Callithrix jacchus: one gene and its partners. The protein of the gene in region 2 purifies or fractionates together with the protein of the main gene of each other region. This does not show direct contact. Links are inferred from orthologs where the notes say so. Each region holds a gene or a part of one and is shown on either strand. Other genes may lie near its edges. The genes, in order: SMURF1, TGFBR1 and SMAD7.

Region 1 (10,023 bases), on a different chromosome or scaffold from region 2:
AAGGTTTGGATTACGGTGGAGTGGCGAGGTGAGTTGCGAATTCATTCACCTTCTCTGCTGCGTGGATTTCAGCATAGTTCTAACAGTTTTTTCAAGAGAAGTCACTTGCCCTTCTCTAGTGCTCATCACCAAGCACTCCTGGGCAGGGCCGATGTATCCTTGGAGCAGTCAGGCCATCGTGCGCTGGCTTCAGCCACCCTGCTGAGAATAAGAATTCAGAGCTTGTGCCAGCCTCTTGCCATAACCCACCAGAATAGCCCTGATTGTCACCACTGACTGACTTCCTGTAAAGCTGGAATTAAACTTTTAAACTCACTCTCTTCATCTGAAACTTAAGGGACATGTTCCTGAATTAGCACAGGAGGCAGCCTTGCTTTCCTCTCCACAGGGATTGCATCTGTGCATGTAAATTGCATGTAAATTACATTTGTGTTAAAGGAATTTTGCAAGATAAAATGTTGAAATTTTGGTCAAAATAATTCAAGAAATTGATATAAAAAACAGAATAGAATGATGAAAAGCTGCTATTTCATGTCCTGCCTCTTTTCACCTTCAAGACAATTGTGGGTGGTTTTGTCATTTTTTTTTTTTTTTTCTATGAGACAGGGTCTTGCTCTGTCGCCCAGGCTGGATACAGTGGCACAATCATAGCTCACTGCAGCCTCGACCTCCTAGGCTCAAGCAAGCCTCCCACCTCAGCCTCCCAAGTAGCTGGAACTACATGTGTGCACCACCATGCCTGGCTACTTTTATAAGTTTTTTTGTAGAGATGAGGTCTCACTATGTTGCCCAGGCTGGTCTCAAACTCCTGGGGTCAAGCCATCCTCCCATCTTGTCCTCCCAAAGTGCACTGCACAGGTGTGTGATGTTTCTCGTCTGCATCTTCCGAGAGACTCAAACTGCATGCAGTCGGGAACCCTGTCTTGTTCACAGCTGATCCCCAGTTCTTAGAACAGCACCTAACACATAGCAAACACTTACCTCTGTATATATGTACCAGATGAATGAATTTTACTTTTTGTTAATTTCTTTGCACATTTCCTTGCTTTGGTCGTTCTGAAATGCTTGTGACTTAGCCATCAGACTCCCTGGTTTGGTTTGGTAGGAGTTACCTTCCTTCTGCATTTTCCTTAGTTGTCCAGTCTTCTGTGTGGAGATAGGTCTTTGTGACGTCCCCTTGAACGGCATGATGCTGGAGTAGAAAGAGTTGAGAATCCCTGCTTTGCCACCTCCAGCTTGGTCTTGTAGTGTTATTTCACCACTGGAGTCTTCCTCCCATCTAAATGGGATCATGCCTATCTCAGAGAGGGTGGAGAGAAGTCAGTTGCATGTGGATTACACATGTGCAGGTGTGGATTCATTATCTGATCTGTGAGAGCCAGGCTACACTCATTTCCCCAGTGTTTAGTCCGCAGTCCTTCCTGTAGCCGCTCTCTCTTGCCTTTAGTTATTGCTTCCCTTACCACTTCCAGAGCAGAGCTGATTGTATCTACCTCGTCCATGGCGTTTGCTTGTATTGTAATCACTTCCTCTCTAGACAATTGCAGGTCTTTGTCTTTTTCAAAAAAGGTTCTTCTCAAATCTAAACTCCAAACTTTGGAATGAAAATTCAGCAGTGTTGCTTTGTAGTAATCGGAGTCTCATCTCTTCTGGCAGTTCCTTTCTGTTCTTCTGAGTGCAATACAGAACTGTTTTCATTTAATATTTTTTGTGTATTCTAGCAATTTTCTTGGACAGATTATCTGCATTTGTGCTTATCCTTCCCTGTGCTCTCTCATTTCTGTTTGAAAAGTCCAAATAAAATTTGGAGCTGCTATCTTAATGTGATCCATTGAAAAGGCGTTTTGAGTAGAATGAATAAAAGATTGTTTGCGTATCTGCCACAGGTGTTTGTCTAAGAGTTCCCCTGCTAGCTGGGCTTATCGCAACCTGAGTGTAGCCACTGAATCATACAATCTCTATTTAAAATGCTTTCTTTTTCTTTTTTTTTGCTTAACTGTTTTGAACTTTGGAGTTAAAAAAATAATAAAACGATGAAAACATTTAAAAAATTCAGAAAATAATAACTCGGGCCTGGTGTGATGGCTTACACCTGTAATCCCAGCATTTTGGGAGGCCAAAGTGGGTGGATCATTTGAGGTCAGGAGTTTGAGACCACCCTGGCCAACATGGTAAAACCCTGTCTCTATGAAAATACAGAAGTTAGCCAGGCCTGGTGGCACACGCCTGTACCTGGAAGGCAGAGGTTACAGTGAGCCGAGATCGCGCCACTGCACTCCAAACCTGGTGACAGAGTGAGACTGTCTCAGAAAAAAAAATCTAGAAATTTTAGCACATATAAAATGAATGAATGTTTTTTCCTAGGGAATGGCTTTATTTGTTGTGCCATGAAATGCTGAATCCATATTATGGGCTCTTCCAGTATTCCACAGACAATATTTACATGTTGCAAATAAATCCAGATTCTTCAATCAACCCCGTAAGTATGAATGAACAAAGGGGAAACTGGGTTGGAGAATTTTTGAGATGGAGTTTCAGTTTCATTCTCCGTTCTTGGTTTATTCATGTAGACTTAAAGGCGGTGGTAAGCAAAACATGGAAAGGTAAAGTGGAAACTGGATTAAGATGGATTTTGGTCCTGTATTTTCAGAGATTGTGATCACTGGGCATGTTGTGTTGAAGGAGATGAAGAGGGAGATCGAGCTGTTCATATACTCAGGACACTTCATGGTCACTGAGGAAACTCTGGTGTGATGACTGTATTTGTTAATGGTGGCATTCTAAGGAGTGGATGCTGAAGTCCAGTCTCCTCCTAGTCACAACTGGAATCTTTCCAGAACTGGCTTAAGCCACAAATGCCACCCTTAGCGTGCTTGTTTTAGAGATGAGGAAGTCAGCGTGGTGTTTGCACACTCCGCCTGAGGGTGGGCCACCGGCCAGGGGCAGACTCCTCCTGTGGCACGGCCTTCACCAGCGTCCTGCTCAGGCCACTGAGGCGAAGTTGGGACAGGCTCCCCTGTGCATTCAAATGTGGAAGAACCTTTTACCAACATGGAAGCAGAGTTTTCACTCATTTTCTGAGATGAACATAATTCAAACCTGAAAGCAGAGGCGTATGGTTCCTGAGTTAAAAACCAGACGGCTCTGGTTCTAGAATGGTTTTTTTTTTTGAGACGTAGTCTTGCTCTGTTAATCAGGCTGGAGTGCAGTGATGTGATCTCAGTTCACTGCAACCTCCGCCTTCCAGGTTCAAGCAATTCTCCCGCCTCAACCTCCCGAGTAGCTTGGATTACAGGCTTGTGCCACTGTACCCAGCTAGTTTTTGTATTTTTAGTGGAGATGGGGCTTTACCATGTTGGCCAGGCTGGTTTCAACCTCCTGATGTCAGGTGATCTGCCTGCCTCAGCCTCCCAAAGTGCTGGGATTACAGGCACGGGCAACCACGCCCAGCCTAGAATTGTTTATTTTACTTGGCTTATTCATACATATTTTCCTGTGGTCTTTTTGTTCCCCCTTCTTAGAATTTCTTCCCTCCCTCATTCCTTTCATTCTGGATCAAGGGAGGGGTGGTGGAAGAAGGGGGCTTGCCCTTGTCTTTCTTGTGCAGTGGGAGGGAATGCAGGGCTGGCTTCCTGGGCGTGCGTCCTGCAGGATGCCGCGGCCCTGCAGTGTCAAGGCCCCATGCTTGGTTTGATTCTGTTGTCACAAGGTGAAATGCTCAGTCGTTGCTGAACATGGGCTCTGCATTTTCATTTTGCACTGGACTGGGCTCCTCTGCAAGTTATATAGTCTGAGGAGGTATTGGCCCTGAAATTGTCCAGTGACTCTATGCAAATTCAGCTACACAAGCAGCCTTCTTTCACTTGCTCATGAGCCCGGCCTGTGAGTTCCTGAGTTGCCTCTGGGACACTCTTCCCAAGAAGACTCCCACATTGACCAGCGTTGTGCTGATGAATTTGTGTTTTCTGGTGCCCCCTACAGGACCACTTGTCTTACTTCCACTTTGTGGGGCGGATCATGGGGCTGGCCGTGTTTCATGGGCACTACATCAATGGGGGCTTCACAGTGCCCTTCTATAAGCAGCTCCTGGGAAAGCCCATCCAGCTCTCGGATCTGGAATCCGTGGACCCGGAGCTGCATAAGAGCCTGGTGTGGATCCTGTAAGTATTGACTGATGGTGCACGGTTACCTGGCGTGGGACATGCCACCACCTCTGTTGTCTGCATGCATGCGTGTGCGTTTGTGTATTTTGGGGATGGGTGTGAAATTGAAGAAGAGACACAAAGAAGCCATTGTATTAAATAACCTGAAACAAAAAAGAAGGTTCTTTGGGAGGCCAGAGTGGGCAGATTGCTTGAGCCCAGGAGTTTGAGACTGGGCCTGGGCAACGTCCTGAGACCCTACTACTACAATAAATACAAAAAAAAAACCACCCCACCAGATCTAGCCAAAGAAAAAAAACAAAAAACTCAGTTGCCTTATTTTCCTTGTGATGTTGGGCCGGCTTCTCTTCAGGGACTAGATTCTTTCATTTCCTTGAATTATGAAGGTAAGATCACGAACTTTAACAGACTACTCCCCAGGCTCGGGGTGTGTGTGACACTCACGGGAGTCTCCAGTTAACCTCACAGGAGCCAAGCCCATATCAAAACAAATTGAACATTTAGGTACCTCTGCTTTAGAATTATTCTAGACATTCTGTTAAGGGCAGCAGGCAATGACAAGATGAACTGTGTCACAGGTCTTGTGGATTTCGTGGGGATGAAAGATCAGGCTCTGCTCTGGCAGACAGAAGGAATGTGGATGAGTGGGAGTGGGGGCCTCCTAGTTGTATGTCCCATGTTCCAACGTGAAGAGGGGACCCCAGGGACCGGGTAGAAAATCTTCCACTCAGTATGTTGGCTCATTGCCTGTTATTAAGCACTTCACTTGAGATCAGGAGTTCGAGACCAGCCTGGCCAACATGGTGAAACCCCGTGTCTACTAAAAACACACAAACAAAGCCAGGTGTGACATGTGCCTGTAGTCCCAGCTCCTAAAAGGCTGAGGCAGGAGAACTTCTTGAACCCAGGAAGCAGGGGTTGCAGTGAGTTGAGATTGCACCACTGCACTCCAGCCTGGATGACAAAGTGAGTCTCTGTCTCAAAAAAAAACCAACAACAACAAAACTTCCAATCTGCCTATGGCAGATTCAGGAGCTAATTTTCACTTTTAAGTGCTTTTGCATTTGAACTGATGTGTTTGGAAAGGCTGGCTCTAAGGCGGGACTCGTATTTTCTTGGTGTGGCTTCATCTCCAGGTCAATTTCCTGCCTTCAGTGCTGCCCGCCTTCTGTGAGTGAGGAAGCCAGGAGTCGGGGACATCTGGAACCAGAACTGTGGTCTCCGGGTCCTCCAGCACCATTTGCGGTGCCGCCCCCATATGGGTTTCGTGTCCGCCTGCGGCTGTCCTCTCTTGCAGCCTGGGTCTGGGAGTCCTAAACGCCATCTCTCTGTCTACCCGATGGCCCTACTTGATGTTCCTTTCATTGGCACATGGTGGCTGAACTCTAACTGACGTCACCTTCTGTCTTCAACAGAGAGAATGACATCACACCGGTGCTGGACCACACCTTCTGCGTGGAACACAATGCCTTCGGGCGGATTCTTCAGCATGAACTGAAACCTAATGGCAGAAACGTGCCTGTCACAGAGGAGAACAAGAAAGAATATGTCAGGTAAGTCATCTGGGGGGCACAGCCAGTACCTGGGGCACGGATGAGTTTGCATTTAGTTGCTGTGGCTCATTCGCCGTGTGAGGCCTGCGTGTCCCTGATGGCTGGCACTTGTGATCAAATCATAGGAACAGAAGTGACTTTCAGAAACTGACAGCTCAGCAGCCACGTCAGGGATCTGCTTGGAGGGGTCCTGATGGGGCCAGGCCTGCCTGAGGGACAGAGCCCACGTGGGGAAGGACTTTCAAGTGACCACCTAATTCTGGGTGCAAAGTAGGGGGGCCAAGGAGAGAGCAGCTGCTTGGAGGGTCTTGTGGTCAGTCCGAGGAAGCCACCCTGTCAGTCTTTTCCACCTCTGAGTTGAGGCAAATCCATGTTCAGGCCTAGGCACTGGCGCTGAGAAGTGCGTGGGCGTGGCTGTGTGCCCAGTCGTCCTGAGCTGTCCTTTCAAATGCACTTATAAACATTATTAAATGTTTAACATTTGATACAGGGTCTTGCTGTGCTGCCAGGCTGGTCTCGGACCCCTGGCCTAAAGCGATCCTCTTGCTTTGGCCTCCCAAGGTGTGAGCCACCATGCCTGGCCAGAACGTGCTTTCAAATTACAGCAATTGATGTGACAAGTCAGGTGCAATCCTGCTGTTTTCAGTAGCGAACCAGAATGAATCAGGGCACGTGCTGAGTCATTTTTAACGTGATGCCAAGGTTTTGGCACTACTAGCTGGTGGGGATTTTGTGTCTTGGTGGGGAGATCTAGAGGGGGCCCCCAATATGTTCCCATGTTTGTCAGACTGTGATATCAGAACCTGCTCATGGGCTGGGTGTGGTGACTCATGCCTGTAATCTCAGCACTTTGGGAGGCCAAGGCAGGCAGATCACCTGAGGTCAGGAGCTCGAGACCAGCCTGGCCAACATGGTGAAACCCCATTTCTACTAAAAATACAAAAATTAGCCAGGCATAATGGCAGATGCCTGTAAGCCCAGCTACTAGGTAGGCTGAGGTAGAAGAACTGCTTAAACCCAGGAGGCAGAGGTTGCAGTGAGCCAGGATTGCACCACTGTACTCCAGCCTGGGCGAAGTGAGACCCTGTCTCAAACCAAAACAAAACCTGCCTATGGAGGAAAATCCACTTGGTGTTGCATCCAACTTGTGAGTTTTTCTTCCAGGTTGTATGTAAACTGGAGGTTTATGAGAGGAATTGAAGCCCAGTTCTTAGCTCTGCAGAAGGGGTTCAATGAACTCATCCCTCAACACTTGCTGAAGCCTTTTGACCAGAAGGAACTGGAGGTACGTGCCTGCTGTGTGGAGTCCACCCAGGGCGCTCAGGGGCTCCCCCTGTGGCTGGCATCGTCTGCCTGTTTTAAATCCTTGATGCAGGGTGTGGCATGCACTGTTTTCTAGAAAGCCCAGGAGCTGTTGGGGTTCCCAGAACAGTCAGCTGGAGCAACAGTGGGGAGTAGAGGGTGTTTACGTCAGTTGGTAACCAGTGAGATGTCTGCATGGTGGTTGGAAATCTGAATAATTCCCGGGACGCTGTTCAAGGTGGTTGTGGCTTCTCTCGTTTTCAGGATCTCTAGCAGGGAGATCACGCGGCCCTCTCCTTTCCTGGGAGAACCTGGTTCTCCCACAACTTACTGCCTTTTATTCGGGCTGTTACTAGACTAAGAACAAGGGGATACTGTCTCTCCAGTCCTACTCACGCGCTTGAACATAGTGACTCATTCATCCCTTACCATCTCTGGTGCGAAACAGCTCAAGCCTTGTAGATTGTTCTCCGAGTCTTTCTACTGCCAGTGAGGAGAGCCTGGGAGCCAAGAGCTTGGATGGGGCAGTAGTTCTGGGGTGAACTTTTGTGTCTTTTTTTTTTTTTTTTTAAAGACAGAGTCTTGCTCTGTTGCCCAGGCTGGAGTGCAGTGGTGCAATCATGGGTCACTGTAGCCTTGACCTCCCAGGCTGAAGCGATCCTACCACTGCAGTCCCCTGAGTAGCTGAGGCTATAGGTGCATGTCACCATGCTTGGCTAATTTTTGTATTTGTTGTAGAGAAAGGGTTTTGCCATGTTGCCCAAGCTGGCCTTGAACTCCTGGGCTCAAGCGATCCACCCAACTTCAGCCCCTACAAAGTGCTGGGAATATAGTGGCGTGAGCCACTGCACCCAGCAGGGGGTACTTTTAAGCAAGTTGCAGAAACGCGTCCCATCTACCCTAGCCCCACGTAACTCTTGCTGAATTCTCCTTTCTTCAGACTTGAAACTCCACATGTCCTTGAGTGTCCTGGAGAGACCCCGGGACATGCTCTTACTCATGGTTAGCTCTGTTCAGTGAACTGGGTGGTTCTTTGAGACTCACTCCTCACCGATGCAGAGCAGAAACCCTGCTTTGGTTATAAGATGATGCCCCATCAGTAGCTGTGCACCGTGGTCTTGGGGTTGGAGGAGGCAGAGGGAGGCATGTCCCACAGGTCTCCTGTTCGTTGCTTTCTTCCTGTCTCAACTACTGTCTAGTTTTTCTTTGGACACAGCCGCTGCTTTGTTTGGGAACCGACTTTTCACTTGTGTGTGTGTTGGGTACCTCGGAGGCGTGTCCTGACGTGGGTTTATACATTTTGGGAGTAACTCATCTTTCGGCACCTCCTCAGCTGATCATAGGCGGCCTGGATAAAATAGACCTGAACGACTGGAAGTCGAACACGCGGCTAAAGCACTGTGTGGCTGACAGCAACATCGTCCGGTGGTTCTGGCAAGCGGTGGAGACGTTTGATGAAGAAAGGAGGGCCAGGCTGTTGCAGTTTGTGACTGGGTCCACGCGAGTCCCGCTCCAAGGCTTCAAGGCTTTGCAAGGTGACTGATGGGGAGGCGGGGCTATTTGATATACGTCTCTGCGGGCTGTGGGCAGGAAGAGTGAAGGTGGCTGGGATGTTTTTCCGAGATGTGTGCTAGAACACAGCATAAGGAGTGTTCTCCAGTAATGAATGCTCTGCGCTGCAGAGGTGGCCACCTGGCAGGGGCCGTGTGTAAGCAAAGACTGCAGAGCCACTCTCGGGCACGGGGGTTCCCCCTCTTCACTGCTTCCAAAAAGCCAAGAGGGTCTGGCCAGCAGGGGTCTTTGAAGTGTTTGGGAGGCCTTGCACTTTCCAACTCTGTGAGCCCAGCTTAGCCAAGACCCTGGATAAGGAGCTGTGGGGGAACCACCCCAGTCTCAGTGGCTCCGAAGCTTGACGCTGCACATGAACCCCTACTTAGCCACAACACACCGAAAGGTGCCGTGATGCTCCCTCTGCGTAAGCCACTCAGGTTGCTGGAAGTGGGGGGCGGAATTCAGTGGCGGAGGTGCCGATCTCCCTGCAGGTCATCTTTTACACTTAACGGCTTGGGGGGGATGCTGCTGGAAGGAGTGAGGTGAAGGGTGTCACCGTACTGAAATTTAGCTGGACTGTAAATGCTGATAGACATACAGACACACTGTGAAGACAGAATATTCCGTCTGAATTGCTGGCTCAAAGGAGGTCATCAGGGCACCTGCCTCTTTTCCATCATGACCTCCGCCTATGGATTTGCTGCCAGGGGCCCAGCATGAATAAAAAGGGGTTGGAGGCTGAGACCCGCTTGTATCTGGGAGCCTCCATCTGCTTGACCAGCTTGACCATGACAGCTGCTCCCAGAGCTTGGAGCCTGTTATTTACAAAGCCTTTTTCCTTCAGTTCTCCCAACAACAACCCGGAGAGCCTGGTTGAGCGGGGATTAGCCCCATTCCATGGAAGAGGAAGCTGTGACTCACTGAGGTCACGGGATTTATTTTCCCTCCAATGGGGAAAAAGAAACATGGAAGGTGTGAGCGGTGTGCCAGGGCAGGAATCCAGGCTTGGTGACCATGCCACCATCGTCTTGCCCGTAGCAGGCCCACGTGCTAAACTTTCCTGCTTAGAGAGAATCTCTGTCATTATAAGGGTCTCATCAGTCCCCTAATCAGGTGGACTTTAGGCCAGTGTCCCTGAAGTGTCTAGAAGGTGGGTCAGAGGTGACCAGGGCTCACCTGACAGGGTCACAGTCCAGTACCAGAGTGCTGGTGCTGAGAGAAGGGAATGACTGGTAGCAGGGCCAGGCAGAGTGGCCAGGGCCCTGCAGGAGGTCTCTGAGGCCCTCACTGGGGCATGTCTGGTCCAGCCTGTCCTGACTCCCCAGGAGATCAGGGTGGGAGGGTGTGGACTGTGAGGGAGAGGAGCTAGCTTCCTGCCCCAGGTTCCCCAGGAACCAGGGGGGTGCATTCCAAGACCCTCTGCCCAACATAAAGATGGGATCTCCACTTGTCCT
Region 2 (10,123 bases):
GCATGAGCCACCACACCCGGGTAATTTTTGCATTTTTTTGTAGATGAGAAGTTTTGCCATGTTACCCAGGCTGGCCTCAAACTCTTGGGCTCAAGCCATCACCCACCTTGGCCTCCCAAAGTGCTGAGATTACAAGCATGGGCCACCATGCCTGGTCCATTACAGTTCTAAACCTACGACTCCGGGGTCCTGCACACTTTCATTCATTATCTTGGACCTCTGAACTGTCATGTTAACAAGCTTAGGCTAGCCTGCTGGAGGGTGGAAAACAACATGGAGGAGCTGATCTAGCTCATTACCCTCTTCCACCCCCTTCCACCTGATGGCTGACTCACAGGTGAGCTCAGCTGAAATCAGCATAAATTGGCATAAACCTGAAAAACTCTCCAGCCTACCTACAGTCTCATGAAAAATGATCCATGGTTATCATTCTATGCCACTAAATTTTGAGGTGATTTGTTATTCAGTTAGGAGCACCAAGAATTGGCAATAGCTAATAATGGTATAAGTCAATAATATCTTGTAGGTTAGAAAATAAGACAGAAATAAAATATGCAACAACAAATAGGATGGGCAAATGAGTAGAATTGAAATGTTCTAAGGTGAATAAAAAAGAGATTTATTGGCCAGGCACAGTGGCTCATGCCTGTAAGGCGGGAGGATCACTTGAGGTCATCAGGAGTTCGAGACCAGCCTGACCAACATGGAGAAATCCCATCTCTACTAAAAGTACAAAACTAGCTGAGGGTGGTGGTGCATGCCTGTAATCCCAGCTACTTGGGAGACTGAGGCAGGAGAATTGCTTGACCCCAGGAAGTGGAGGTTGCATTGAGCTGAGATCACACCATTGCACTCCAGGCTGGGCAACAAGAGTGAAACTCTGCCTCAAAAAAAAAAAAAAAAAAAGAGGTTTATTTTTCTCATATAATAAGAAATAAGCATTATAGAGCTGGTGCAGCTGTTCAGGAAATTTATCAAAAACTTAGACTCTCTCCAGGTTTTCTCTCTACAGTCCTCAGTTTTGGCTATCACCCTTATGTTTACAAAGTGGCTGCTGTACCGCCAAGCATTGCAACCATGTTCCAGGCAGAGAGAATATGATGAATCTCTTTCCTTTTTTAACTGGGAAATATGTACAGGCTCCACCTTGTGGAAAGTAGACTTCTATTTCCATTTCACTGGGAATACTAGGTACAAGGAGCCTGGCAAATTCATACATATTTTTTTCTAGGTGAACTGCTTTCCCAGAGAAAATCAGGACTCTATTATAAAGCAAATGTAGGAATGGGTATAGTTTAGATGACTAGCAGTCTCTGCTGTCTATTTTGGCAAAAACATCTTACATAAGAGAATAATCCAAAAGGAAATGCAAACAATGTCCTTGGCATAAAGATTAAGAGACAACATTACATAGGGTACAAGGCACTGGAGTGAGACTCCTAGTACTAGCTCTGCAGCTGACTTGCTGGGGAACTGATCTAAGTTTCTCCATCTTTAAATCAAGATAATCAAGACATTGTAGTAGATAACAGGGAAGCCTTTTAAACAACAAGTAAGTCTGTAAAGACTGAAAGGAATTAACACTTATGATAGATTCCTTATGTGCAATAGCTCATTTAGACCTCACAACAATATCTCCCTTTACCCTGGAGATGCTAAATCTCAAGAGTGATCAAATAGTGTTCACAGACCCACAGCTACTGAGTGGCAGAGCCAGAATTTCAAGTAGGGTCTGCAGGCCTCCAAAGCCAGCGGCTTCTTTCCACTGCCCATCCAACCTTTCTCAAAAGGCAAATAAGGTCATGCATTTTTATTTACTGAATTTTAAGTATACCAGTCTTTTGAAGCTGGCCTAGTGCCACCTGCAACAGAATTAACTATGATGTCTATTACAAATGCAGATTCCTGAACCTTCTCCAGAAGAACTGAAGCAGAATTGCTAAGACCCAGTGAGACCCAAGAATCTGCATTATTAAAAGCTCTCCAGGTAATTTGGAGACACTTTACAATTTGGGAACCATGATTTTAAACTATTAATTTAGTGTTCCATTCTAGTGTAGTTTATTTATGGATCTGTTGTTCATGGAAATTTCCTCCTAGTATCAGGATGTTAAAATTTAAAAACCGGTCTGTTTTTCCTTTCTGTTGAATCTACTCAATTCCATGGAAAATGTTAAGGAACTGGAGGTGTGATTAACACTGATTAATCTAGGCTCTGTACGTCAAGGGCACAGACTAACATGAACACACATGCTGATTAGAATCATACGGAGCTGGAAGGGGATGGGCAAAGAAATGGCATTAACTAAATATTTACTATGTTCCAGACACTGTACCAGACACATTACATCATCTAAGGAGCCCAAGACAAGTGATTCAATCCCTTTCATTTATAAACGGGGTAGGTACTATTATTATTTACATTTTAGAGATGAGGAAGCTAAAGGCCAAAGAAAAACAGTCACTTTGAGATCATTCATTCATTCACACAATCAAAATCTCATTAGCTCTTATCTTATGCAAGACATTGCAAATAGAGCAGCAAAAAGGCAATCTAGAGACCTCTTGGCACAAAGCCCACCAAGTCTCCATTGAAGAAACTGGAACCGAGAGGGCAAATTGGGACTGGAGCCTGCCAGAAACCGTCTTTCTGGAATCCTTCAGTCTGAACAAGAGGGGAGTTCGCTGCTGAGGCTGCTGGCGCTGCAGTCTAGAGCAAGTTGCAGGCCTCTGAGCCTGCTGGAGACTCTGAAAGGTTAGCTGACTTTGCCGAAGTAGTGTCCCAGCCAGGAGGGAGAAAGCACGCAGGTCTCAGATCCCAGCTCCAATATCCACGTCCTTTCCCTTTTCATCTCCAGGAAGGAAACCTTCACAGGTGGGGAAAATGCTCACCCAGTGACTCTGAAGTAGTGCACAAGTTGACATTAGAGGCTGGTTCTGATTCCTGCTATCAAGGTTTATTTAATTCCAAGCTCAAATGACACAGGAAATAAAACTTTCTCCTTAAAAGGTTCTGAGGGAAAATATTCTCTGTTCTACGTAACAGCCTCCTTGGCTGTGTTTGTGTCTGAAGAAAGGACTAGTCTGACAGGAAGAATTACAAATCTGGAGCTCATTTTGGCGTCGCGGAGGAAAGGTGGGTGGAGCGTCTCGCAGTAAATTAGGAATTCGGAATGAAAACGTAGTTTATTTGGGTTTTTAGTGACACCTCAGGATTATTATACAGGAGTGTCAGACACAGCTCAAAGTAATGACTGCTCCCCCTCCACCCCGCGGGAGCTGGGTTCTAAGAAGGGGGAACCCCTCCTTTGAGGGGTTGGGGTGGGGACCCTCCCTTTCCAACCTGGATCAGGAAGGGGGATGAGGCGAGAGCGGCTTGGATCCCCATCCTGTGCCTGTTCCGGAGTGAGGCGGGAGGCTATTTGGGGGTGTGTTTGGGGTCAGGATCTGGGTCTGAGGCTGGGATCTGAGGACTTCCTAGGTTTGGAATTGGGTGGGGGAGCTAGGTTCGGGATGACCGCTCCAAGCATGAGGAAACAGGAGACTGAGTCGCATGTGAAGGGCGCGGAGGAAAGATCTTCGGGGGAATGCTGAAGTTGATGCGTGGACTTGGAGAGGGGAAGTTGAAGTGCATGCAGGGCCTGGCGCTGCAGCGGATCTGAGTGGCCTATGCAGGGATTGCCGGTGCGGAGCAGTGAATGGGGTCAGCGTGGGGCTGAAGCAGTACGAGATCTTCCGCGCCTAGAGGAGGTTAGAAGAAAAGAGAGTCGAGCGGCCACAGCCTTTTCCCGAAAGCGACTCACACAGACACACCCTTCGCTCTACCCGGCCCTCCGGGGCTAGCGGCTCGGCGGCGCTGGGTCTGGCCGATCCCGCCCCCACACCGCCTCGCGGAGCCGGGAGCAGCTCTGGCCGGGGCAGGGGTCTGGCGGCCCGTCCCCCGGGGAGCGTGGGGCGTGGCCAGAGGCCGGGGCGCGCGGCTCCGGATTGGCTGCCCGGTGGGCCCGCGGGCGGGGCTCGTGGCTGGGTCCCGCTCGGCCGCTCGCGGCGGCGGGGAGGCGGGGCCGGCGGGAGCCCGGCAGCCAATGGACGCACGTCCCCCGAGCAGTTACAAAGGGCCGAAGCGGGGCCGCCGCGGCGGCGGGGGAGGTGGGGCGAGGCGAGGTTTGCTGGGGTGAGGCGGCGGCCGGGCCGGGCCGGGCCACAGGCGGTGGCGGCGGGACCATGGAGGCGGCGGCCGCTGCTCCGCGTCCCCGACTGCTCCTCCTTGTGCTGGCGGCGGCAGCGGCGGCGGCGGCGCTGCTGCTCCCGGGGGCGACGGGTGAGCGGCAGCGCGGCGCGGCGGGCGGGCGGGCGACTGCGGGGCGCGCGGGCCGGGCCCGGCCTCCGGCTCGCTACTGCTCTTTCTCAAACATGGCGCGGGGCCGGGGGCGCAGGTGGCAGCGCCGGGGCCCGGACCGGGCTCTCGTGGCCCCAACCGGGCTCTCGTGGCCCCGAGCGGCTCGGTGGCAGCCGGGCGAACCGCAAGCGGGGAGCGGAGGCGGGGCAGGGGCGTGTGTCCGGGCACGGGTGAACGTGCCGGGCAGCCTGAGGCCGTCCGGCTCGGGACTCCCCCGGGGAGGTGGAGTCGGACGGAGTCGTCCGAGGGCCGGGGCTGCCCTGTGGGGTGTGCGTGGGTTAGGGCCAGGGGCGGAGGATGCGAGACGGGCGGGGACTGGCAGAGCGGTGGCTGCCGACCGCCGCCGCCCCCCAGGGAACGGCGTGGTCTTGGGGTCCCGGGCGGGTTTTGGGGTTGGGGGGAAGGCGGCTCCCGGGCGGGGTGTGAGCTCCGAGCCGCGAGGGCTTCCCGGGGTGGGAGTCGGGGGTCGACATGTGGTGAGACCCCCGGGTCTGCAAGCTGCCCTGACTCCCGCCCGGCCCGACCCTGCTGGAAGGGTCTGCTCCTTCAGCCAAGGGGGCTTTGTGTGAGAAGAAGGAAGCGTGGAGATGCGCGGAGTATTCCTTCTTTCGTGCGCCTGAGGAGTGTTGAAGTGAGTCCAGTAACCAGAAGGCTACGGATTGTTTTCGTAGTGGAAACTTGAACGTTTGCTCACTCTACAGGGTTTGGAAATTTGGGGAATGACTGTGAATTGATTCAACGCTTTTATTTCCTAGAAGGAACATCACTTGCGATGTTCCTTTTCTTGAGTGACAGTTAATAGTTTGAATGATACATCTGGTAGCTGGTTTTCAAGGAAGAATGTTCGCTGAGTTTTTCCAAGTATTAAATCAGGTCGGGGTAGGTGGTTGGCATCCACAAAGTGATGAGTGGAAAACTTTGTTAGCAGCTGAATTAAGACAGTAGAAACTAAAATCAGAGCCTCAGTCTTAGCAACTAAAATGCAGTGAAATTACATTTCTGTTTCTGAAACTGTACAAAAATGTTGAAAATTCTTTTAAAAATCAAGACTGAAGATGATGATTATAATTAGTCCTAATAGCCTCCGTCTATGTATTATGCATTACTATGATGTAAATGCATAAAGTACACTATTGGATACGTACATTATTTAATCACCACAACCAAACTCTCAGGACTTGTGGCATTTGCCCCACTTTAAAGATTTGAAAAGTGGGGTGCAGACCCCTGGGTCTGCTTAAGTATGCAGTCACTAAGTGCTAAAGCTAGAATTTTCACTCAGATCTCAGTTTCCAAAACCTGTACACACATATATATATAAATATGTATATACACACGCAAACATGTATACATCATACTACCTGGCATAGCCCATTTTTCTTCATCTGATGAGCAACTGGTCTTTATTATTCACTTTTAGATTCTGTCCTCATGATATGAATGTCAGATAGGCTTCATTCTGACTCTTAGCACATTCCTGAGTCCCTTCACGTGGGCCTGCATTAGAGGAAACAATGGATTTTTGACATTGGCCTAGGGAGGAAGGCAAGATAACTGTGTGGACAGATTGGGAGAATCAATATAGTTAGGGGGAAACATAGGTAACATTTCCACACCACTATTAACTTGAATAACATAGTGCCCTCTTTTCCACCAGAAGTAGCACAGGAAGTGTTCATGTATTCAAGTAACAGTAGGTGGACTTAGTTGGATACACAGAACATTGCTCAGTCCATGTCCTGGGGGAGTTTACAGTCTCTGTGGCATGTACACAGTACAAAGCTGTCCAGGTGCATATTACTCTAAGCCCAGACTGCCTCAGCTTCTCTGCCTTTCTTATTGGTTATGATGATGTCTCAGTCCACCCTTAAAATAACATTCTGAAAAAGGTCAAATGCTTTTTTTTCTCTCTGTAATTTTACTTCCCTTTTAAAAAGAGTGCAGTTTCTTATTTTCTGAGTATGTTTTATTGTTCTCTGCCCAACTTCTCTCCCCAACATAGATTTCTCTAGGAAAATTGATTCCTTGTCGCTAGTACACGGTTTAGTACCACTGTGTCTATATGAATATCCCTTGTGAGAATGCTGTTTGCTTCCTTTCTGCCATTTCATAACATTTTTTCTTTGGAAACATGCTCTAAATCCAACTCTTGTTTCTATTAATGCCTCTTGAATGTCTCCTCCTTTCTTGGTATGCAGCCTTCAGCTTAATCCTGCCTGTTATCCTCCAAATCTAGTTGCTTTCCCATGTTTCTCTCTTCTAAGCTTTTCTATGGGCTACTGCCAAACTAATCTTCCTCAGCCATCCCCATAAAGGTTTATATGATTTCCCATTTGTATTCAGCACTTAGAGAAACACTTCAGCAGCTTATGATTGGGGCCATCTCTGAGTATCCTACCAGGAATCTCACTTCTCATTACTGCAGACCTTCAAGCAATTTCTATTTCTCACTGACTCCTGACTGTTCAGCTTTTCACTACACATTTAATTTTGCCCCTTTTTTGGGAGTGTAAGAAGTTCTCAGTCCTGACTTCCTGTACTGGTTTAGTTCTTGAATTCTTTGTCTTCCAGAACTCTGCAACACTTACAGTTTGTGTTGTCCATTTCTACTGTCTGCACTGCAATTTAACTACACTTGAATATGTTGTAGATACCTAGAGGACGAGATTCATGCCATTTCTTTGCTTTATGGCCTCAGAACTTAGCACTGTGTTTTATATTCTATTCCACATAGATGCTTGTTGATTTCTATTTGAGCATTCCTTTAGTATTTATACTGTTTTATCTAAGTCCAGTTTATGCAATATTAACTTATAATTCTGTATAAATAATCAGGAAATATTGTGTGGTGTGGTGAAGGCAAGTGGTTATTAGTCCCACCTTCACCACCAGTTATGCAGAAAATAGGGGCAATACCTGCTTTTGCCTAATTCATGAGATTGTGAAGATCACATGAGAAAGTGGTATTTGAGTTTGAGGTTGCTATTCTGTATTGTTACTAATGATCAGGACTGATATTCAACAAGCAGTTCCCACTGGGCCATGTGTTTTTTGGTTAAACATCCTTTCTGGTTGGTTGGTACCCTTGTAGTGCCAGTTGTTAAATATTTTTAATGTCATCCCTGTAGGGAGGCATTAGTATTCAAAAAGGGAGATGATTAGTGTAGGCTGGAGTGATTGGGGGAGGCTTTCTGGACAGTTTAGGACTTAAGCTGACTTTGAAGGGTGGGTACAATTCAGAGGGGGATTTGATGAGTATGAAAGTTCTCTAAAAGTGTGTCTCCAACTGTACTGGGGCCCCCACTCCAAGGGAGGAAACAAAGCTTTTACTGACTGGCAAGTTACTCTTCAAAGTTAGGTTCCTTATTCTTTACTGTGGGATTTGGATGTATTAACCTCTATCATTTTTCCCCCCAATCCTAAAGGCTATAGTACATGGCTGGAAACAAAGCATAAAAGTAATCAAAGTGGAGTAAATGAGAGAGAATAACATTATAGGATGCCCACTAGGGCTAGGCATTCAGCTGGTGAAAGTCCTAAGTATATTGTCACTTCAATTTACAGATGAAAAAACTCAGATTAGGTGAATTTCTTAGGGTGACAAAGGGCAGAACAGAGACAGGAACTTTGATTTTCTGATTCCAAATCTTGTGCCCTATATTCTGCTTTAAAATGTGAAGGACATGGAGGTGGGCGTGGGACGAGGTTAATGGAGTGACTTACCTAAGTGAAATAGGCCTTGCACTTCACACAATTTATGAAAAGTGAATTCTAAAGGTAGAAGGGAAGGGGAGTGATTAAAGGCTAAAAGTCCTCAAGGGAAAGGTCAGGATTCTTTTTTTTTAATTGCTGATAAAAGGACCTGGTATAATACTGACTGAGAAACATAGGCCTATAGTAGTTTGGAAGGTAGTCTTGGATAAGTACTGTTAATTGAATTGGGTGTAATTAAAAGGCCTTGGTTTAGAATAATAGATGATCTGCTTTGTTATTGGAATTCAGTGAGGAATTGACATGATAAAAATGATCAAGAGGAAGATAAATCTTGTTCTTTATCTTTCAACAGGGGTCTTCCCCACAAGGAAAGGTTCTAGGCCTTAGTTGAAGAGTTACAAGGACTCAGCACCATTCTTATAGTATCATTTTATTGTATCAAATATGTTCATGTGTAATGAATTGAGTTTTGAAAATGCTGTTATCCTGTGGATGGCCCTTTTGATATGAAAATATGTCTCTTCAAACCACAGAGCCCCTTGCGAATGTTGACAAACCTCTTGCCTTTTGCTCTTCTTCCTTGGTCATGGCTTACATAATAGAGTTCTGAAGAGATGGACTGTGGTTTGATATCATGTGATTGGGTCACATCTTTGCTTCCTGCTTCTGGAACTGAGGGCAGATGCTGGCATGTTTCTCAGGGATTTTTGTAATGCTTTGTCCCGTAGAACTAAGCTGAGGAAATTTTTGGAGTCTTCTCAAAATGTATGGTCTGTTTTGACCCAGCCTAACTCCAATACTTAGGATAATATTTAATGCCATTCTTAACTGAATTTTCTGAACGTTAAATCCAGGCAGTCTCCATAAACATTAAAATTGTTTGCTTCTCTGAATTAGATCCAATTTTAGGTGTTTTGTTTGCTTTCCAGGTAGGTTTCTTGTGGCTACCCTTCTTCATCATGAAGAAGATTGGTAGGCTTGGAATTATTCACCTCAGACTTCACTTTCTTAAATACTAGTGGACTAAGTCTATTTGGTTTTATGGTCCAAATTTTATAGATCAGATCAAGCCTTTTCTAAAGCTGCTCCCTCAAGGAATGATTTCTAATCTAACTTAAAAAAAATTATGACTTGCAGAGAGTATACACACAGGTTGGTTTGAAATTTCTTGAAAGATTACAAGAGTGTGCTAGGCATTCTACCTGTCTTGTCTCATTTAATTATTTTCTCTCTCTTTTTTTTTCTTTGACCATGGCTAGTACACCATCATTTAATTCTCATAACCAACCTTGAATGGTAGTTGTATAGTGGTACCAAAACTTTGTATTTATTTGCTGGTTAATTTCCAAACTCTTAAGTCTATTTGTTCCTAGACACAGGTGACCAGAGCTCAGAAGTTGACTGTAGGTTTTGATAACATCGACTCTACCCCAAGATTCTTTTCAGCTCTCTTAAACATTATCCAAAGGTATTAGTATTTTGTTTTTCATCCTCTAATCATAAATACGTGTGTGAAAGGAAGACATTGCTTTGAATGGCACAGATGTAGACTAACAGTAATTCAACCACTGAGACTCAAATGATTTTTTATTATCATAAACCCCAACTGCCTGGGTAGGCAGAATAGACAGAATTTTGCTCAGATTGGAACCTAGTTCATATCTATGAAAGAAGACCCCCTTTGTTTCCACTTTATAAACCAGGAAACTGAAGTTATGCTGTTAATGAAAGGTAGAGCCTGCATTTGAGCACTCGGGTCTGTGCTCTTTTCCTGTACACATGCTCATCTACTTATGATGGGGCCATGTATGTCCATGCTGCTCTCATATAGAGTAAATACATTGTTAGAGCCACTTCAGAAAAGTTTTCTTTTCCTTTTTTGAAAACCATGAGAATTTGCTTCAGATTTCTTTATTCCACTTTTAGTCTTTCTTTGCAATTGCAGGCTATTCAGATACTGACAATCTTTCTTTGACATTGTATATTTGGATAATTTGAATCTCCCTGATG
Region 3 (10,123 bases), on a different chromosome or scaffold from region 2:
TGCAGTGGCTTTGATCTCAGGAGGGATTTACAAACGTTAATTAGGCCTCCCTGCCACCCCTGTGAAGAAGCCAAGTATACCTGTTCCACAGGCACCCAGGGAAACTGAGGCGTCACTGACTCGCTCAAAGGGCCACCCAGTGAGCCAGGCTATCCCCAAAGAGTCCAACCCCTATTCCCATAGCTCTCACTTCCCAGGCAGGGCCATGGAGTCCCTGCCCTCTTTCCTGGAGGTGGCTTGGCCATCCAGACTGGCCTCAAGAATCAAGGAGCCATACCTCCATCTCTCACCCACAAAAAAGCTCTGCATTAGACACATCTCTAAATTGAGGGTCTCACCTTAGGCCTGTGTCATCTCTTCACTAGAGCCCAGAATGGCTGGCAGACAGAAGCTCTAGGCCACTCCTGACTCATGCAACACTAAATATTACCAAGCCCTTGGTAAGTGCTAGGTTCCGAGAGAGAAAAAGACTCATTCCTTTCACTGAGCGGCTCCAACAGTCTTTGAAAATCCGACCCATAAGCACAAAGTAAGGGAGCTGGGAGTCCCACCATAGTCTCAGCAACTGTGTTCTGAGCTTCTAAAGTACTGGTAAAGACAGAGGAACCCCTCCCCACCAACTACACCACTAGTATATTCCAAGGTTCCCAGCTTTGCCCCAGGTAGTTCACTCTACCCAGAACTCAAATGAACCCTGGTTACAGAAGAACACCGCACTGTATCAGAATCCTCAGATTTCTAGGTGGGCACATCATCGTGTCTGTAACATGAATAAATGAACCAATGAATGAATGAATGTTCTACTCTCTTTCATTGCTGATTAAAAGAGGCCTAGAAAAGTTAAGAGGAATCTGAGTTAAGAGGCAAATGCAGTGCCAGATCTCAGGTCAAGATGCCAGACTTACAACCTAGATTTGGAGGCTGGATCTGCCAATGGACACTGGCCACCTGGGTCCCCGAAGAGCTCACCCAGCAACCTCCAAGGCCAGCCATTCTTCAAACCTTTCAGACCATCAGATACAATGGAACACTGGACGCAGAACCCACACAGCTATTCCCGAGATCTGGTTTTAAACAGCAAATTCTGATTTCTTGTGGGATACTAAGGTGGGGGTGTCTTTTTGACTTCTGACAGCCACAAGTCACAACCGACTTGCCCTAGGTTCAGTTACATGAACACTCTTTCAAAGATGGCTCTGCTGGTTAAACCACAGCACTTAGGTGTCTCAAGTCCAGACCTCCCCGAGGCTGGGTGGAGTGGCTTCCTTCAACTACAGCAAAATGGAGCTTCCAGCTTTGAGGCCTCTGCATCTCCAAAGGGTGCAGGGGTACCAGGACCCAGCCCCATTCCCATCACCTTTTTCCAAGATGGAGACTTCACAGGACGTATTCCTTTAATTGTGCAACTGGTTAAGATTTTAACAGCTGTCCACTGTAAAACTTTGTGCCTGTTTCACCTAGTAACCCAAGACCAAAAATTCAACCTAGAACTTAGAAACTGAAGAATGTAAATGGTCCATCTAGATTCCTGGGCCAAACATTATCCCACACGCCAGATAGGGATGAAAACCTGGGTCAGCGCCCATCTGTGGTCTGACCTCAATGCCCCTGGCCACAGCAGCTGGCAAAACCAGCCTCAGACCTGTGGGAGGGGGGTGTGTTCCACCCCCAGACCTGGCGGTCCTCCAATGAGGCCGGACAATTCCCCTCCAGGGGGCTTTGTCTATTATTGATGCTAAATTCTTACACAACGGCGCCTTTTCTCATTTCTTTTTTTGTTCTATTTTCAACAAAACATTTTGGGTGAGTAACCAGCTGTCTTAGTGTCCGATCGACAGGTTAATCACTTCCTATTGGCTGATCTGGAGAACTTTTCTCCCCCTTGGAAATGGCACATTCCTGTCTCTGTGGCTTCTCTGTTTACACACATTTTGCTACCTAATGTCAACACTTGCTAATGAATAAATAGATCACTCCACTCGCCCGAAAATGAGGTCCGGGCCTGGCAGAAGGACTGCTTACATCCTGAGAACAGATTTATCCCAGTGTCTTTGCAGGAAACCAAAGGGAACATGGCCTTTCTTTTCTATGCGTTTTGGAGGTTTCTGGGAACATTTACCCCCACTGGTCTTTACCCCTGGGGCTAAGGTCACTGTTCTCTCTCTTTTAAGGAAAACCTCCAAATTTGAAAAATATGGAAGGAAAAACAAAAACAGGTCAGAGGTGGCCCCTTGGAAAACTAACTTAATAAAAAGAATTCTTAACTCTTTCAGCCAAAACCCAATCAAGTTACAGTCTTTAGGAAAACAGAGCTTGGTAATTCCAGTGAACCTCTGTTACAAATACAGAGAGCTGGGTATCTCCTCATTAATAACCATTTATCTGGTGTTTTGTAAATCGAAAGCAAAATATCACATGCTTTGTGGGCCACTTATTAGAACGGGCACCAGGCAAGCAGGAACGCCTTCCCAACTTGAGGGAGCTGGTGGAGTCCCAGGAGGGTTGGCTGCAGAGTATGGGCTTCGGTTACACGTTCATTAAAGTATTTAATTTATGACAACGCCCCAGCAAAACTTTTAATTAGTGGGGGGAAAAGCCCAACAGCCAAAACACATGAGGCGGAAGGAACTGCAGAATTCCAGGAGCTAAATGGTGCCCAACCCTTCACTTTTCCTTCTCCCAGAACCTTGGCAAAATAAAAATGTCCCAAGTATTAATGTTTTTACAGGCACCAGTATACAGGGCACAAAAACCAAGGTTACATACAGCCTGTACTTTTAGCAAATAGATCTATCTCCTACTGTAAGAAGGAGTGCCAGGAATTGGGGCTCATCCTTGTTGTCGCCCCCAAGTTCATTTTGCTGACCCTGTCCCCAGCACCGTGAGGTCCGGAGGAGGAACACCTGTGCTGCTGCTGCCAGAAGTTGAATGCAGACAACCACAACAGGGCTGGTGCCAGTCTCAAATGGGCTGCCCTGGCTCCATGCCAGCCAGTGACAAAGCAACAGACAGGCAGAGCTATGCTCAAAATTTTGATGGTCCCTACGGAGCATACTGAGAAATCCCCGGGAGAGGGTGACTTGCAAGTGACTGGGGCAGGGGGAACCCACTCTTCTTTAACTGGCTGTAGCCTCTACTGAAATGTTCTAGTGTCTACTCCAGACCAAAGTATTCTTTGCACCTTTTAAAAATGTCTTCCCATCCATCTAATCACCCTTTCCAGATGCTCCGGCACTCACGAAGTCTCCAAGCTTTCCCCACCAACCAGTCCTATTTGGTTCCCAAAATACTTCTTTCTGAACTAAAAGCATCCACGTGTTAAAGCCGAGTCCCCCAGCCACAGAGTGCAAATACATGAAAAAGGAACAAAACGTAAAGCATATCAAGAAAAGGTCTTTGCAAAGAAAAAACAAAACAAAAAGCCAGTCACAACAGGAAAATTCACCAAACTTCCAACAGAGGAAACCTAGAACCGACCTGAAGCAAGCCTAGCGCCTTCCTTCCCAGGCCTTTGCCTACACGTAGAAGCCCAGGTTCTACAGGCTCTATTTCTAACTTCGATCCGAAGGGTTTTTTAAAAATCAGCTACTCACCAGTTGGTTTGAGAAAATCCATCGGGTATCTGGAGTAAGGAGGAGGGGGAGACTCTGAAATTAAAAAAGCAAGAGAAAAATAAAGGCCCAGCCATGAGAAAAAGAGATAGAAACTTATGATAACAGAGGCATTCTTTTAGCCCAACTGTTTGTCTTAGCTGTGGGGGTTGGAGGCAGGGCCGCAAGGCGGTGATTGCCTTGATATTTAGCTGTCAGATAAACAAAAGAGGCCGCCTGGCGCCAGCCTCGGCTCTCCGCTCCTCCACGTCTGCGGCCGCCGCCGCCGCGCTCGGCTGGCCCGGCTGGAAACCACCGGCTCAGCCGGGGCCGCGCACTTCACAGTTCACAGGGCGGGGGGCGACCGTGCCCCCTCCTCGTCCGCAGACTCCAGCCCCAGTTCCCAACAACACCGGCTCCCCGCCCCAGCCCGGCCCCCAGGGGTGCAATTCACCTCTGCCCCCGCTGGTCCTCTGGGCACCCGCGCGGGGGACACGGGGGCTCCCCATTCCCAGCGCACTAGGGAGATGCATCCCAAGCGTGCTGGTGAACTTGGGGGATCTGCGGACACCCGGGGTGAACCCTCACAACACACTCCGTGTACAGAAATACAGAGCAAAGGAAGGAACGGACAAAGCAGAGAGGATAAAAGCGAAGGAGTTTCAGGATCTCAGCCGAGAAGTCCAGGCCCCAGCGCAATAAGCGGAGACAACGTCACCGAGGCGCCGGGGGCCGACTATCTATAGACTTCTCTGTGCGGAAGAAAGGAAAAAGTAGGGGACACCCAACTTCTCCTGGCTGTTTGTTCCTCAGCACCCTGGAACTGGCAGAGTTGAAAGGAGATACCCAGTTCGGCCTTCCATCCTAACCCTCTTTGCCCCAAAAGTCCAAGGCTGCACGGCCACAGTAGTATCTGAGCCACTTGTGTTCGAGTGATTCTCCGTATTTACTAAAGGAGCGGAGTCCTTCCAGCCTTTACAGCTCGCTTCTCCCAACCTTCCTTGGCGGGCTTGGACCAAATCCAACTCGGCCACACACCTTAACGCCTTTCCGGGTGCGGGGAGGCGTGACCCCCACCTCCCTCTGCACCCCCTTGTTGATCCGGAAATGAAGGCGTCTAATTTTTAACCGCACGTCTGGTACACTGTGTGCAGGAGCAGTGCCCACAGACCCTTTCGGGGCAACACAGGAGAAAACCTGACAGGGAACCCCCAGGGAATGCCCTTTGAGTTTCCTCGTGTCCCTTCTCTACTTTCCCCACCAAGTCTCCTCCCAGGAGGGGCTGTACACTCCCCCTGAAGGGGTGGCGGCACACGCACTGCCCTAGGGGCTTTTCTTCCAGCACTGGCGCGCTGGAAAATATTGGGGGTGGCCGGGCAACTTCTTACCTAGTTCGCAGAGTCGGCTAAGGTGATGGGGGTTGCAGCACACCAGCTCGGGGTTGATCTTCCCGTAAGATTCACAGCAACACAGCCTCTTGACTTCCGAGGAATGCCTGAGATCCGGCCACCTGAACACTTTGCACAGCAGGAGGGGGAGCGAGTAGGACGAGGGCGGCTGCGCAGGCTGCGCGCTGGCGGGCGCCCCCGGGCCCAGCCTGCAGTCCAGTCGGCCAGGCAGCAGGAGGCACGCGGTGCGCGTCCCGCCGCGGGACTCCACGGCCTGGAGCAGCAACTCCAGCTGCCGCTCCTTCAGTTTCTTGAGCACCGAGTGCGTGAGCGCCTTCAGATCAGCCTCTGCGCCCCCGGCCGCGCCGGCGCCCGCGGCTGGGGGGTGGGGATGGTGGTGACCTTTGGCACCTCGGACCGCCTTGCCCAGGCAGCATCCAGCCCTGCCCGCGCCACCGCCACCAGCCCCATGAGCTCGACTGTCCGTCGCCCCTTCTCCCCGCAGCTCGCCTCCTCCTCCGCCTCCCCCCGCGCCCTCCTCCTCGTCCTCGCCGCCGGGCGCACGGCTCCTCCAGAGACGCCGGACGAGCGCAGATCGTTTGGTCCTGAACATGCGGGGCGAGGAGGCGAGGAGAAAAGTCGTTTGCCGGCTAAGGAGCGAACATGACCTCCGCACACCATGAAGAAGTCGGGCGCCGAGTTGGGGCAGCAGGCGCAGGCGACAGCAGCAGCAGCAGGGGCCCGGGCAGTAGCGGCGGCGGCCCGAGGGGCGCTCCGTGGCATGCGCCAGTCTCCCGGAGGCCGGGGCGCGCGCGGGGGCCCGGGGGCGCCCGCCGGGGATCGGGGGCCTGCGCTCCGGCTGCCCCACCCCGCGCGGCCCGCGCCCTGCGCGGCTCTCGGGCCCCGGCGCGCCCCGGAGGAACCCGGCCGCCGCTTCCCTGGGGACGGCCGAGCCTGCCCCCGTCGGCGCCTCCCCAAAAACAGCCCCCCCCGCAGTGGCTCCCGAATGTCGGACTCGCCAGCCTCGGCTTCCTACATGGAAGATCCGCGGGGGCAAAAAACGAAAGGCGTTCGGCTGGGCTGCTGGAAGAAGGAAAAAGCCTCTTTCCCCCTTGCTAAGCAACTTAATTTGGGGGTGGGGAGAAGCAGGCAATTAAAAAAAAAAAAAAGCAAGCACGCGATTTATTTTTTTCCTCTATATCCTTAGTAACCGGATCTCCTCGAATTTCGTGCACACGAAGGCTGAGGGGAGGGGGCCGAGTGGACTTCACCCCGCATGAGACGTCTGGCGAAATAAGAAGGTTCTCTCAAAACCTAACAACCAAAATATGCAAAGCCCCAAATGAAAAACACCACCTCCTCGAACCTTGGAGGTCTGGGGGCGTCCGGCTGGAGCTGGGGCTTAAAAAAAAAATGTTTACGAAGTATAACAAGATGTTTGGGGGGTGGGAAAACGCATCCACGAGTTACAACCCCCCTTTTTTCCTTGCAGAGCCCCGCTGGTCTTCCTCTCCTTTTCTTCTGCCAAAAACAAAAAAAAAATCGTGTATTTTTTTAATCCACAGAAAGCTTTGACTAGACCGATTCAATCCTGCGCATCTGGGTGGTTTAGGGGAGTCTCTGGTCTTCCCTCCTGCGCGCCTGGGGGCTCAGGTCCTCAGCGGGGACTTCCTCGAGGCTGGCGGGGGCGCAGGGACAGAAGATGCTGCGGCGGCGGCTGAGCCCGGTGGGGCTGACAGCACAGGGGAGGGCGGCGCGGCGGCGGCGGCGGGCCCCAGGCGGGTAGCGCGTTCTTGCCCCCCTGGGCACAAGCTGCTTGCTAATGCGGGGGCCGCCGGTGTCCCTTCCCCTGGCCGCGGTTGGTCGCCGGGGCTCCCCGCGTGGGCTGCTCGCCTCGACCCAGCTGCGGCGGCAGGAGGCCCCGGTGTTCTCTCGGCGCCTCCTCCTCCGAGACTCTCCTCGTCGCGCCCGGGAGCCTCCTTGTCCCCCGTCCGCCCTCTCCTGGCGCTCGGGTCCTTCTGCCGCCGCCAAGGGCTCGCCGCGCCGCACTCAGGGGCTCTGGGGCCCGGCGCTCGGCGGCTCGGCGCCGACGGGCTGGCTCTGTCTCGGGCAGCTCTCTCCCGCGCGGCGAGCGGACCGAGCACGGCGCCCGGCTGGCTCGGCTGGCGCGGCTTGGGGACAGGCTCTTCCGTGCGCCGAGCAGCAAGCGAGTGTGCCCGGGGCTCGCCGCCTCCCGCAAGGCCTCCCGCCCCCGCCCCCTTCCCTCCCCCTTCCTCCCTCTTCCCTCCCCCGCCCCCAGCCGCCGCCGCCGCCGCCTCCTCCTCCCCCCCGCCCCCCCGCCCCCCCCTCCGGCCCTCTGCTCGGCTGGTTCCACTGCGCAGTGGCGCGCCCGGCTCCGGCCTCGTCACGTGGCCGTCTAGACACCCTGTCGCTTTAAAAAAAAAAAAAAAAACGATTGTGTTTCGCAAACAACAGATCGGGTTTCTAAAAGCTATTTCGTCCCCAACCCCCCGCCACCGCCACCCCCTCCCGGGTCTGTAGACGGGGTACCGATGGAGAGGAGAGAGAGGTGGGGGGCCGAGAAGCTCCCAGAATCTACTGAGCTCCGGCCGGAGCCATGGAGAAATTGGAAACGCAGGGAGCACCGAGCGGGCTTCGCCGCGAGTTTTGGAGCTGAGCGAGCGGGTCGGTGGCCGGATTTCGACCTGGCGGGGCTTCGCGGTGGCCATCTCGCGCGCGCTCGCCCAAGCGCTTCATTCATTGGTTTTGTTTTAAAGGCCCTGGCGGCGGATCCCTTGGCTGCGTCGGAGGGCAAGGGGAGGAGAGCGCTGTCTCGGTTTAAAAGACATTTATACCGGACTGGACCGAGGCCCTGGGAAGTGTGCGCTGGAGGGAACAGCCGCCGAGGGCGGGGAGGCAGCGCGATTATGACCTCAGAGGCGGCCGCGCGCTCCCTCCCGCCCTCTCCTCTCCCGGCTCCGGTTTCTAGGACTGCCTGGAGAAGTGTGTCTTGTGCACAGCTCTGGAATGCATTTGGCCGGCTGACGAGCTGCGAGGGGCAGCATCCTGGCGGGAGAAGCGGGGCGGGAGAAGGGGAGCGGGAGGGGGGCTCTCCTGCGCGCCAGCGGCAGGTTTCTCCCTGGGCCCGGAAGACCTCCGCCACCCGCCACCCTGCCTCCCGGCGCGGGAAGGTTACCCAGCGAGCAGACCTGCCTAGGGCATTTATTTGCTTGGAGGGCCTGTTTCTGGGCCTCGTAGCTTTCAAGATGCTTAGGGTCAGAGAGTTTATTCCTTGACCCCAGGTCTCTAAGAAACATATACCCAAGCTGGCGGGTTACTGCATAGAAACGGGCATGGCATTGCTAGGGCATGAACGCGTTTGCAGCGTGAAAGCTGATAGTTCTGAGAAACGTAATGATTTAAATACACATCAGTATTGATGAGACCACTAGTTCGCATGGTGATCTAACCTCACCTCATATTCTGTAAAATACGATTTTTTTAAAAAGCCATTGAGAATTGTGAGATCAGGCCAGCAATGAAACTCATGGGGGTTTTCAAGAATTTTTTTTTTTTTTTTAAAGAGTCTCACTCTGTTACCCAGGCTAGAGTGCAGTGGCTCTGTCTCGGCTCACTGCAGCCTCCGCCTCCCGGGATCAAACGATTCTCCCACCTCAGCCTCCGCAGAGGCTGGGACTACAGGTACGCGCCACCACACCCGGCTAATTTTTGTATTTTTTGGTAGCAAAGGGGTTTCTCCATGTTGGTCAGGCTGGTCTCCAACTCCTGACCTCAGGTGATGCACCTGCTTCGACCTCCCAAAGTGATGGGATTACCTGCGTGAACCACCACACCCCGCCCCCCTCCAGCAATTAAAAAGATTTTTAACATAGTAACAATTAGTACTTAATAAATATTTAGAAATCAACATTAAGGGCTTAAGGGTCATTTGGACCCTTCTTCCACCCCACCAAATAAATCAGCAACATTGCTTACATGATCATCCCCAGGCAAGGAGATCCTGACACTGACTTGGAAGATAGCATGCCAAGCAGTGCCGAAATCTGCTGGACAGCACAGAAGCTGCCGTTCTGAACATTTACTGTGTAAGGCCACATAAGTCGCAATTGTATAACATCATAATTTTGTTGTAAATTAAAATATGGCTTGTTGAAAAGGGCATGGAAACCTTATGTGTGTATATAAAACATTCTAAGAAGCACCCTGTAAAGACAACAGCCAAGAAATCGCAGGAGAGAATGGAGAAGGGGGTGATCCTATGGCTATATAGATAAGGGAAGATGGAAGAGACAGAAATGGGATTTTTAAAGTGTCTGGGAAATGCATCATATTTTCACCTTGGAAAGGCTTAGAAAGAGTACCAGACTAGAGGTAGAAAACCTGATACCAGGCTGGGGCGTTGCCACTCACTGGTTAAGCAACTTGGGCCAACAGTGATCCCACGTTAGGCCAGCACTTGGCAGCATTTATGAGGTTTTCTGGGTAAGTTTCCTGCCCTTTAGGGTCTCATTCCTTCTCTGTTCTGGGTCTCCCTAAAAGATCTTCACTTTTTGAGAGTGGTCAGACCAGGCTTCATCGAAACAGGAAGGACTTAAATAAGCAGAGAAAGCAGAGGTCATAATTCTAATTAAGCTTCTTGGCTAAATGGAGAATCTGAAGAATCTTTTGGAGATCTGGCCAGCAGTGCTAAGGCTCTGTAATGAGAAACCAGAGCACACACAGGGCAGGTAGGTTTCCTGGGTGTTTCAGGAGTGGAGTCTGACATCACAGTTTGTCTGGGTGGAACATGCATGTACTTGCAGAGCTATGTTCCCATATAGTGTAATTGTAGGTGTATTAATTCAGGTGTCACCCCTCTCTACATGGCTTTCCTCTTCCATTTTGCTACCCTAGGTCGAAGGTGGGTGGGGTGCTGAGCAAGTAGCTAAATGATTGGTGCTGCTTTATAGCTCTCTGGCATCCCGTGAATCAGTGAACATCCCAACCTTCCTGATAGCCCCACCCGTCACATTCTTATCCCTCTCCATTCCAAGAAAGAAGCTGAAAGCCTGGCAGTAGAGGGACTCCAGGCTGGCTGGTGTGCCTAGAAAGGGAGTTTCTTTCTTTTCCTTCCACAGGCACAAA

What was found.
Region 1: the proteins of TGFBR1 (region 2) and SMURF1 purify together in Homo sapiens (affinity purification with western blotting; 3 studies listed by BioGRID). This does not show direct contact. The link is inferred for Callithrix jacchus from reciprocal best matches to the Homo sapiens genes TGFBR1 and SMURF1.
Region 3: the proteins of TGFBR1 (region 2) and SMAD7 purify together in Homo sapiens (affinity purification with western blotting; 19 studies listed by BioGRID). This does not show direct contact. The link is inferred for Callithrix jacchus from reciprocal best matches to the Homo sapiens genes TGFBR1 and SMAD7.

The regions. Positions count from the first base shown.
Region 1 is NC_133503.1:14,558,990-14,569,012, forward strand, and holds part of SMURF1 (E3 ubiquitin-protein ligase SMURF1), read left to right. Parts: coding exon 1-28; exon of another isoform or gene 29-201; intron 202-981; exon of another isoform or gene 982-2,364; coding exon 2,365-2,479; exon of another isoform or gene 2,480-2,529; intron 2,530-3,981; coding exon 3,982-4,160; intron 4,161-4,668; exon of another isoform or gene 4,669-5,578; coding exon 5,579-5,716; intron 5,717-6,880; coding exon 6,881-7,001; intron 7,002-8,351; coding exon 8,352-8,553; intron 8,554-10,023. UniProt on the Homo sapiens protein: E3 ubiquitin-protein ligase that acts as a negative regulator of BMP signaling pathway. Mediates ubiquitination and degradation of SMAD1 and SMAD5, 2 receptor-regulated SMADs specific for the BMP pathway.
Region 2 is NC_133502.1:147,219,712-147,229,834, forward strand, and holds the start of TGFBR1 (TGF-beta receptor type-1), read left to right. Parts: upstream 1-4,136; 5' UTR 4,137-4,224; coding exon 4,225-4,321; intron 4,322-10,123. UniProt on the Homo sapiens protein: Transmembrane serine/threonine kinase forming with the TGF-beta type II serine/threonine kinase receptor, TGFBR2, the non-promiscuous receptor for the TGF-beta cytokines TGFB1, TGFB2 and TGFB3.
Region 3 is NC_133514.1:92,050,671-92,060,793, forward strand, and holds the start of SMAD7 (mothers against decapentaplegic homolog 7), read right to left. Parts: upstream 5,929-10,123; 5' UTR 5,592-5,928; coding exon 4,979-5,591; intron 4,584-4,978; exon of another isoform or gene 4,124-4,583; coding exon of another isoform or gene 4,045-4,123; intron 3,648-4,044; coding exon 3,594-3,647; intron 1-3,593. Other genes in the region: uncharacterized protein LOC118146891, read right to left, coding at 6,628-7,409, 7,529-7,739. UniProt on the Homo sapiens protein: Antagonist of signaling by TGF-beta (transforming growth factor) type 1 receptor superfamily members; has been shown to inhibit TGF-beta (Transforming growth factor) and activin signaling by associating with their receptors thus preventing SMAD2 access.